Linked DNA regions of Daphnia pulex. The protein of the gene in region 1 purifies or fractionates together with the protein of each later gene. This does not show direct contact. Links are inferred from orthologs where the notes say so. Each region holds a gene or a part of one and is shown in the gene's direction. Other genes may lie near its edges.

Region 1 (4,501 bases):
GGTGTTAATTTTTTTCATCGTAAAAAGTTTTGATTTTTCTTCAAAATTTCGCCTCTTTGGGAGGCTATAACTCCCGAACGCCCCCACAAACATTCGACAGACGGCCATTTCCCATCTTTCCTCATTTAGACGAATCGCTCAAACTATTAAAACTTTCTCGTTAAAGGTTTTGATCGTTTTGTTCGCGGGCTCTCTGGCTTTGTCAGACAAAATCTGACATCATGTGACCTACGTCAATTGGTCAGACAAGGTGGGGCGGACAATTGTAGCAGACATCATCTTGACTAAAATGCTGCGTTGCGGCGATGGTAACAATTGTAAAAAAAACAAGTCGAACAGCCCTATACCTGACCACAGATAAAGACCACTGGTTGACTCTCTCCATAAGAGAATTAACATGGCCAACTGTTGCCATAAATCGTGTACCCTTCCTCCGATTTCTCCGATCTTGGACTACTTGTCCTGCCCTCTAGTGTCTAGTGTACGTTTGCATCTCTACACTCTGCTTAATTCTATTCAATTGCAATGAATTAATTGATTTCTCTGCTTTTGCCATTGAAAAACGTCAAAATTAAATACAATGTGACTTCTTAATAAAAATGTTATGACAAAATTACCTAGGACTTTTAAACGCCAGCCAAGAATTTTACCAAGACAGAAGGAAAACAATCTTCGTCTGCAAAACCCTTCGTAGCCTCGGTACAGTACAGTACTTTATCCGCTAGAGGCACTACAAGCACTCCAAGAACTCGGGGTCAGTAGGGATAGGGCTAAAAGGATAGGAGACAATCAACCAGTCGTCTTTATCTATGACCTGACATTGGGCTCAAAATAATATTTTAAAAATATTTTGAATTGTTTTCAAAATGTTGAGACATTAGAACATTAGAACTCGAAATAAAAATTTTTTGTGTTTGATAATACAATATTTTCAGAACCTGGAACGAAAGACATTATTTAGATTAGGTGAAATTTGGACTCCAAATATTATTTTAATTTATAGAAAATTTGAATTAATAATTAAAATTGATTAACGTGTAGCCTGTTCATTTTAAGTTTATAACAGAAAACTCTGAAAATCGATTGAAATTATTAAAAATTAAATTATAAAAAATTAAAGTATTAAAAATAGCAGGTAAAATAATGGAATTAAAGTATATGCCTCAACAGGCGAGTCACCAGGTGTGCAAACTGAAAGTGTTTGTCATCATCTTAGGGTTTGGTGAGCACCGAGATAAAGAAAGGATCCTCTACCGCAGGTGCATACCAACACACACGTATGCATTGATGTGATGGTGTTTATAACGGTCGCGGAGTCGCGGTAGGATAATGGAAAATTTTCGTATAAACACGGGCAAACTGTCTGGCAACGCTGTATGAAATTTGAAATTTCGGCTTTTTCATTTATGCAAGGCAGTCCAGTGTGGTTTACAGTTGCACAATAAACTCGAAGAAATGGCTCGCCTACTTATTGTTTTTTGAAATTCGATTGTGAGCTCCAGTCTTGTTTGTTATACGGTTGAGAAAAATTTTGGGAGTTTGATTTTCAAACGTTACAACCCGTGGATTTTATTTTAAATCAAAATGATGGAGACAACGTATGACATGTCTGGTTCAGTGTCTGCTTCTATGAATTACCTTACTCTACAAACCCCGTCCAAGAAATCTCGCAGGAATAAAGAGGATTCTCATCCAGGTATAAAAATTTTTACTATCATGTAGAACTGTCACTTCTATTAAATATTTTTGTAAATATTTCAGTTATTACATCCAAGATATGTTTAGTGGGAAGAGTGTGTGATGTGAAAGGGGTTCAAGAAGCTGCCGAAGTAAGTTTTTATACATTTAAAATGTCAAAGTTGTTATTTGTAAAAATGTACTTTCTAGAGTTTTGGAGTACCAGTATTCCATTCAGAAGATGGTCTTGAATTTGTTAACCCTCAGCATGACACAGTGTTTGTTCTGTATGAGTTTTCCGATGAAGTGTTTGAGGTTCTGTACAAGAAGGAATGCAGGATTCTGGGCTACTCAGCTTTGCTTGACATAGTTTCTAAGAAGTATTTTATGCCTGAACTTGATCGGCCATTGTTTTCTATTTCAATGGAGAATGTAGTATCCTGCTTCACTGGCTTTAGAAATCGAGAGGAAGTGGTGAGTTGCTTTAAAAGAAATGCAATTTTCCAATCATTTAACAATTGGAATAATGTTTTACCATCACTAGAACACACTGGTCTCTTGTATCCATCACATGGGTGGCAGCATTCGAAAGGAATTTGACTGTAACAAAATCACCCACCTTATTGCCAATAAAGTTGGAGGAGAGAAATATCAGTATGCAGTCACATTCAATATTCCAGTTATGAGTGCTTCGTGGGTCCACTTAGCGTGGGAAAAACGTCACGATCTAAGTGTTCGTGCCATTGACTCCACAATGGTATTATTTCATTGTCATTATTGAAATTTATTTACCACATCAAATATTTTCCGTTTTGCAGCAAACGAACAACGCACTCAAGATTTTTGAGGGCACCAATGTTTGCTGGATAGGTATTAATGACGAGGAGGTTACTCAAATGAACGAAATTTTGACTACCAACGGAGGATCTGTAACTACATTGGATGATCCTAACTGCACGCATGTGGTAAGTTTCATGTCAATAAGATTTACAATGGTGGAATTTTACGAAATCCTTTTAATAGGTAATAGACCCCCTTGGAGTTGGAAACATTCCAGAGAAGCTACCCAGTAAAGCTATGTTGGTTGAAGTTAAATGGTTTTGGGTTTCAATTCAAATGGATATTTGTGCCAGTGAAAAACTTTATCCTTATAAAGAGGTAATAATTGATATTCTTTTGTTTACTCAACGCTTCTAAAAACCCGGGATTTTTACAGACTCATTTGACGAGCCCAAGGAATGGGGTATTGTCACCCACAACTCCAGGATCTCGAAACCGCAAGCGTAAACGCTTGAGAGACACAGTGTCTCAACTTGCTGCTCAAGGAGGATCGCCTGGCTTACTTCAAGTTCCATCGTCTGGTCATGGTACAAATGTTTATTGCTTGGAGTTTTTCCCCCTTTTAATGACTAACGAAAATGTTGTTTATTCATAGACACTCATCGCCGCCGTTCCTCGATTAGTGAATCTGGCTTACTCAGCCTAAGTGGATCGTTTCTAGATGCCACGAGTCCCGAGAAAGTGGGGGGTCAAGGTGATCTCACCATTTCCGTTCCTACACCACAGGATCTCAAAGCAATGTCCCCTCGACATCAGGTGTTCATGGAATTGTTGCATACGGAAATGAATTATGTGGAAATACTGGAGACAATTGTTGAGGTTTGGTGTTATTTATTGCGCGTTATTTACCACAATATATAAATTCAACATTTCATCCCTAGGTGTTCAAAAAGCCACTTGAGGATCCTAGCCAAGTTGGAGGCTCTTTGCTTGATCCCACGGAGGTCAAAATCATTTTTGGCAATCTACCGCCTATCCATGAAATCCATTTCGAGTTACTTGTGCAACTTAAAAATACCGCACTCAACTGGAGAGAAGACATCAGCGTCGGAGCTTTAATTTTGAAGCATGTAAGTAAAGAATTTTCGCATACCCAGCATATTCGTTTACATAACTGTATATTTTACTTTTGTAGTCGCATGACTTGGTTAAGGCCTACCCTCCTTTTGTCAACTTTTTTGAGCAAACCAAAGAAGTGTTGAGCATGAGCGACCGATCGAAGCCACGTTTCCACGCATTCCTTAAACTGGGTCAGAGTAATCCCAAATGTCGACGGCAGAGCCTACAAGAGCTTCTTATTCGTCCTGTTCAACGACTACCATCCATTAGTTTGCTTTTGAACGATTTACTCAAGCAGACCCCAAAAAGCAATCCGGATTACGGTGAACTGGAGAAAGCTCTGTCCACGATCAAAGAAGTAATGACGCACATCAATGAAGACAAACGGAGGACTGAGGGTCAAGTTGTCCTTTTTGACATTTTCAACGACATCGAAAACTGTCCTGTAAGCTTCGTTAAATTTTGTCATTTAAATAATTTTTCTTTTAATTAAAATAGATGTTAAATTTCAACTCATTTTTACATTATTTCAAATTGAAATTTAGGCACATATTGTTTCTTCCCATCGTAGCTTTGTATCCCAATGCGACGTTATTGAATTGGGCGATGGTATTGTTGGTCGTGGTGGGCAGCTGACACTCTTTTTATTCTCCGACGTCATTGAGGTAAATTTAAAGCCATTTGCTTAGTTCGCATATTTTATTTTTAACTTTTTGTATATTTATTTATTTATTATTATTTTTTTGTATAGATATGCAAGCGTCGATCAAGAGGTAATACTTTAAGGAGGGATGTTAGCACAATCAGCCTCCAGCCGCCAAGAGGAGGTGCTGATAAAGGAAGCAAACCTACTTACAAGCATGTCGAATTAATATCGGTTTCCCATGTTAAAAGGGTTATCGACATTACGGAAACAGAAGGTAAA
Region 2 (4,611 bases), on another chromosome or scaffold:
GAATGGCAGAGCAGGTCGAAGTCCGCGATTTCATCTGTAAACGTATTTGAAACCTGCTGCCGTTTTAACCAATCAAGAGGATGTAAAAGAAGCTGATTACATACAATAATGAAGATGAAAATGAATAGAACAGTCATGACGATGAGGGGAAACCAGACGAGAATAGCGTCGAGGGAGATGTAGTACACGAAAGAGAAGGAAGTGTTGTCGATGCACCAGGACTCCAATATATCCTTCCATTGTCGTTCCTGTGTGTTGAGTCAAATTGGCGGCGGCAGATGATATAACACCCTAAATAATTCTGATCAATTTAAAATGCTTCTTGGTCGTACTTTATAGACGCGGGCTGCGATGAGTGGAGAGGCGATGGCCGCTGAAAGGATCCAGATGACTCCGCAAATAATGTAGGCTGCCGATTGGCCCATCCGCGGGCGGAATGGAAATGCGATGGCAAAGAAACGATCAAAGCTTACGGCCAGCAAGCTGAAGACGTCCACCAACATCAGCATCACTTTTGATTTGAAATATATGAATTACTTGCCAGTTTTTTTTTTAAAATGAAGCTTTGAATTACCTCTTAAAAATCCCTCGGTTCGACAAATAACCTTCCCAAAAATGTAATGGAAATTATAATTATTTGATAATAAAACTGACTGGTTTTGAAACCTCTCCGAGAATGAACATCTGGTAGAGATCGATGATTAAAATTATCCACGGGATGAGTAGGATAGTTAAAAGATCGGCGATGGCCAAATTCCAAATGAAGATGTTGATGGAAGTGCGCAAAAATCGATTGGTGGCCATGAGGTAAACCACCAAACCGTTTCCAAGCAGACTGATGATAATGACAGGAACGAAGAATCCGATTTTCAAGGCGCACTCCCAGGTGGGACGGACAATCCACAAAGGAAATGGGAAGTTGACGTTTGAAAAATCCATTCCTGTGAAAGTCTGAAATTCGCACGAACGACTTGAGTTCGGTTATTACGTGTGGGAAAACAATGAATTCACTTACATTGAAAAAAGTAGTAATTCCTTGCTTGTCGGAAGGTAAATCCAGCAACTGAGCTCTGCTGTTGTTTATCAAGCCTGATCGTTCTCGACTGGAGTCAAGTACTTACCGGATCCCGCAGCACTAATAATCCTCACACACACTCAGCGCAATTGTTGTGACGCACGCTTTCAAACAAGAGCGGCCATATCGGGCGGCCCCGTGTGCTATGCCTATCAGATTTAATTAAGTTCGTCAAATCGCTAGACCATGTTTTACAACTTTTGGGGGTATAACGCACCGCGGGCCGGCTCACCCCTATGCGATTTGGTTTTATGGTCCACGAATATTATAAGTCAGTCAAACCTCGGGGTCGCTTCTCTAGTACAAATGCCATACGTGAATTATTTTCCCGATATCGCGTAACCTCATTCGTGATGTTTAGTACATCTTGAACTAATTTTTTTCTCAGTTTAATTTGGTGATACTGCATTTCTGATAAACCTCCTATTAAAAAAAAAATTATAATCAGCAGCTTTCCTCCTTATGCGAAAATCACAATGCCTTATCTGAACCGCAACGTGCGGAAAGTGGACTAAGGTTGATATAAAAGCTCGACAAGGAAAGGCCTTGAATTAATTCCCTTCCTATTTCATGTATACATGTCCTTGCGCATATTTTCTTCCGGTTTCGGGACGAATTCGATTCATACTGGCAACGCTGACCTGCCACCTGGCGGCCCGAAATTTGTGAAGAAGAAGAAGCGCCCTCTACCCCACGATCGACGGAAGACGAAGCAATGGCCGACGAACAAGGCGAGAACTTTCACAGTCCCGTAAAACGAAGCAGAACTTTGCTGCCGATTGACATCTCACAGTCCTTTATTGAGGGCCAACAGCTTTGTAAGTACCCGTTTGATCGATTTCATTCATTTAATGTACTTGTGAACCTAATCAAAATTGTTAGCAAAAGATTGCATTCGGTTTTGAGGTAAATGGCCTTTTGCTTCGTTAGTGCGGCCATTGGCGGATGGGGGGGGGGGAGGGGAGACGCCCTTCTTTTTGGTCGATTGCTGCGTTGCCAAAATTTTGGGGCGGCATGTTTGAATGTCATAACAGTGTGATGACACTTGTCAAATACTGTTTTGGTTTCTTGAGTTGAAATTTCTTGATGGCTGTAGAGTTGATCCATTGTGAGCTTACTTGAAATATTTTTTTTTTTTTTTTAAATTTCAGCAAATGATGCAGGACAACTAGGAAGCTGTGAAATGTTCAACGCTGGGGATTCAGGCTTCAGCGAGTTAACGTCTTTAGCCAGCAGCGAGGATGAAAATCTCACTAATGATTTACCATCTACCAGGTAATGTGGACTAATGTCTTCTTTTTATTGTGTACAAACATATGGTCTAACTTTATTATTTATTTATTTGTAGCTATGCTTTGCCAGCCATTCAAGATGCTGATGATTCAATGGGCAATTTGGAGAAAGATGATGATACCTCCTCAGATAGTGATGTTTCAGACATAAGTGGGTTGAGTGACTTGAGCAATCATGACTGGGAGCCATCATCAGGGACGATGTCTTGGGTGCAACAACAGATGCTTCTTGGTACCAATCCTCGAACCATCCTGAATGAGTTGGTACCAAATGATGCTCAAATCCCCACCCATCTTGACGATGTCACCCTTTGGAAGGTAAAATTATAAATTTGTAGCATTGTCAAGGCAACTAATCATAATTATTGAATAAAACAGATAATCGTGAATATTGTCAGTGAACCTCCAAGGCGGGAACGTTTACGCCACATAAATGCAATATCCGATGCCGTCAGATTACTCCGTAGCTGTAAAAAGATTCTAGTTCTTACAGGAGCAGGGGTAATTTTTTTTTTTTTTTTTATAAAATAATTTACCTCATTATATTTGAACAAATTTTGTTTAGGTTTCTGTTTCCTGTGGTATTCCCGACTTTCGTAGCCGTGATGGAATTTACGCTCGCTTAGCCGTCGACTTCCCTGACTTGCCCGATCCTCAAGCTATGTTTGATATCCATTACTTCCGAAAAGATCCCCGACCGTTCTTTAAATTCGCCCGAGACCTTTGGCCAGGACAGTTTACACCTTCTAAATGCCACAAGTAAACAAATTCTCTTGACAATTTTGAAATTTCGCTAATGAAACGATATTTTGTTTAGGTTCATTCGTTTGCTAGAGAAACAAAACAAGCTTTTGCGCAACTACACGCAAAACATAGATACACTAGAACAACAAGCAGATATCGAAAGGGTTATCCAATGTCATGGCTCGTTTGCTACTGCCACTTGCCTGCGCTGCCAACATCGCGTCCCCTCGAACGAGATAGAAAAAGACATAATGGAACAACGCATTCCACTTTGTCCGAAATGCTCGGATGTGTCGAAAAATGAAGACGAGGCCAGTACATCGTCGTCGGTGGCATTATCGGCCCAGCCGATCATGAAGCCTGACATTGTTTTCTTTGGAGAAGGAATGCCAGACGAATTTCACCGCGCTATGGTACTCGATAAAGAAGAATGTGACCTGATAATCGTGATTGGGTCATCGCTCAAAGTCCGCCCTGTCGCACTCATCCCATGTAAGTTATTTTAAATGTCATCTTGTAACCTTAAAGTTCATATGCAATAAGTTTCTCTTGATTCAAATAGGCGCCCTACCGAATCATGTTCCGCAAATTCTTATCAATCGCGAACCTCTCCGCCACATGGTCTTTGATGTTGAACTGCTTGGGGACTGCGATATTATCGTCAACCAACTGTGTCATTTGTTAGTATACAGTAATTTTCATCAGCCAAATTTGTTGTCTCATCAATCTTCTTGTAACAATCAGACTGGGTACACAATGGAAAGATGACATTTGTTACCGCGAACCTCTAACAGAGATCAGTCGCCTACCACCACGCCCCACTCCTTCTGTCGCCGTACCTGCACCCATTTTCCCCAAAAGAGATCAAGACGATCCTTTACGCCGGGACAGTGGGATGTCTACAGGAAGCTTAGAAATGGAATCAGCCGAGTCTGGTGATGTTGAACCAGTTACTCATGACATGACCGGATGGTGGGAGCCGCGAATCAAAGTGAATCTTGCCGATCAACTCCCAGGTAATTTATTTTTGTTCGGTTGTTGTCTATGTCATCTATATGCATTTCCTTGCATAAAATTCAGAAAACACTTATCTCACCGTCCAACCTGGTCGATACCTGTTTCCTGGTGCTGAACTCTTCTATGACCCAGACGAAGAGGTAGAGTCCGATTCTGACTCATCCTCTGATTCCAGCGATTCGTCTGGAATTGATGGAGGAGATTCAACTCAACCTTTCCCGGAGCATGGAGTAAAAAGGAAAGCGATGGATTGACGACGTATTCCGAAGCAACGACAAAGCTTCTGTTTTTACCATTGTTATGTTAACAATATGGATTCTATTTAAAAGCTTCAAGCGTGTGTATATAGACGAAATCTCTCGATGGTATTTAGTATTTCTTTTTTTTCCTGTATTATGGATAAGGGGAAGTGGAATTTTCATTTTTCTGTGAAATCTTGGCAAGCTGTTCTGAAATGTTCAGTGCAATCTACCTCACCAATCT

What was found.
Region 2: the proteins of protein ECT2-like (region 1) and NAD-dependent protein deacetylase sirtuin-1-like purify together in Homo sapiens (affinity purification with mass spectrometry; 3 studies listed by BioGRID). This does not show direct contact. The link is inferred for Daphnia pulex from reciprocal best matches to the Homo sapiens genes ECT2 and SIRT1.

Annotation. Positions count from the first base shown.
Region 1 is NC_060024.1:8,173,163-8,177,663, forward strand, and holds the start of protein ECT2-like, read left to right. Parts: upstream 1-1,389; 5' UTR 1,390-1,584; coding exon 1,585-1,696; intron 1,697-1,761; coding exon 1,762-1,829; intron 1,830-1,887; coding exon 1,888-2,151; intron 2,152-2,221; coding exon 2,222-2,434; intron 2,435-2,495; coding exon 2,496-2,642; intron 2,643-2,700; coding exon 2,701-2,835; intron 2,836-2,893; coding exon 2,894-3,044; intron 3,045-3,112; coding exon 3,113-3,336; intron 3,337-3,398; coding exon 3,399-3,587; intron 3,588-3,652; coding exon 3,653-4,021; intron 4,022-4,121; coding exon 4,122-4,241; intron 4,242-4,327; coding exon 4,328-4,496; intron 4,497-4,501. UniProt on the Homo sapiens protein: Guanine nucleotide exchange factor (GEF) that catalyzes the exchange of GDP for GTP. Promotes guanine nucleotide exchange on the Rho family members of small GTPases, like RHOA, RHOC, RAC1 and CDC42.
Region 2 is NC_060021.1:10,714,532-10,719,142, reverse strand, and holds the start of NAD-dependent protein deacetylase sirtuin-1-like, read left to right. Parts: upstream 1-1,704; 5' UTR 1,705-1,790; coding exon 1,791-1,893; intron 1,894-2,226; coding exon 2,227-2,350; intron 2,351-2,423; coding exon 2,424-2,685; intron 2,686-2,745; coding exon 2,746-2,868; intron 2,869-2,932; coding exon 2,933-3,126; intron 3,127-3,184; coding exon 3,185-3,603; intron 3,604-3,673; coding exon 3,674-3,791; intron 3,792-3,855; coding exon 3,856-4,127; intron 4,128-4,191; coding exon 4,192-4,382; 3' UTR 4,383-4,611. Other genes in the region: neuropeptide FF receptor 2-like, read right to left, coding at 1-34, 105-248, 333-511, 575-605, 667-939. UniProt on the Homo sapiens protein: NAD-dependent protein deacetylase that links transcriptional regulation directly to intracellular energetics and participates in the coordination of several separated cellular functions such as cell cycle, response to DNA damage, metabolism, apoptosis and autophagy.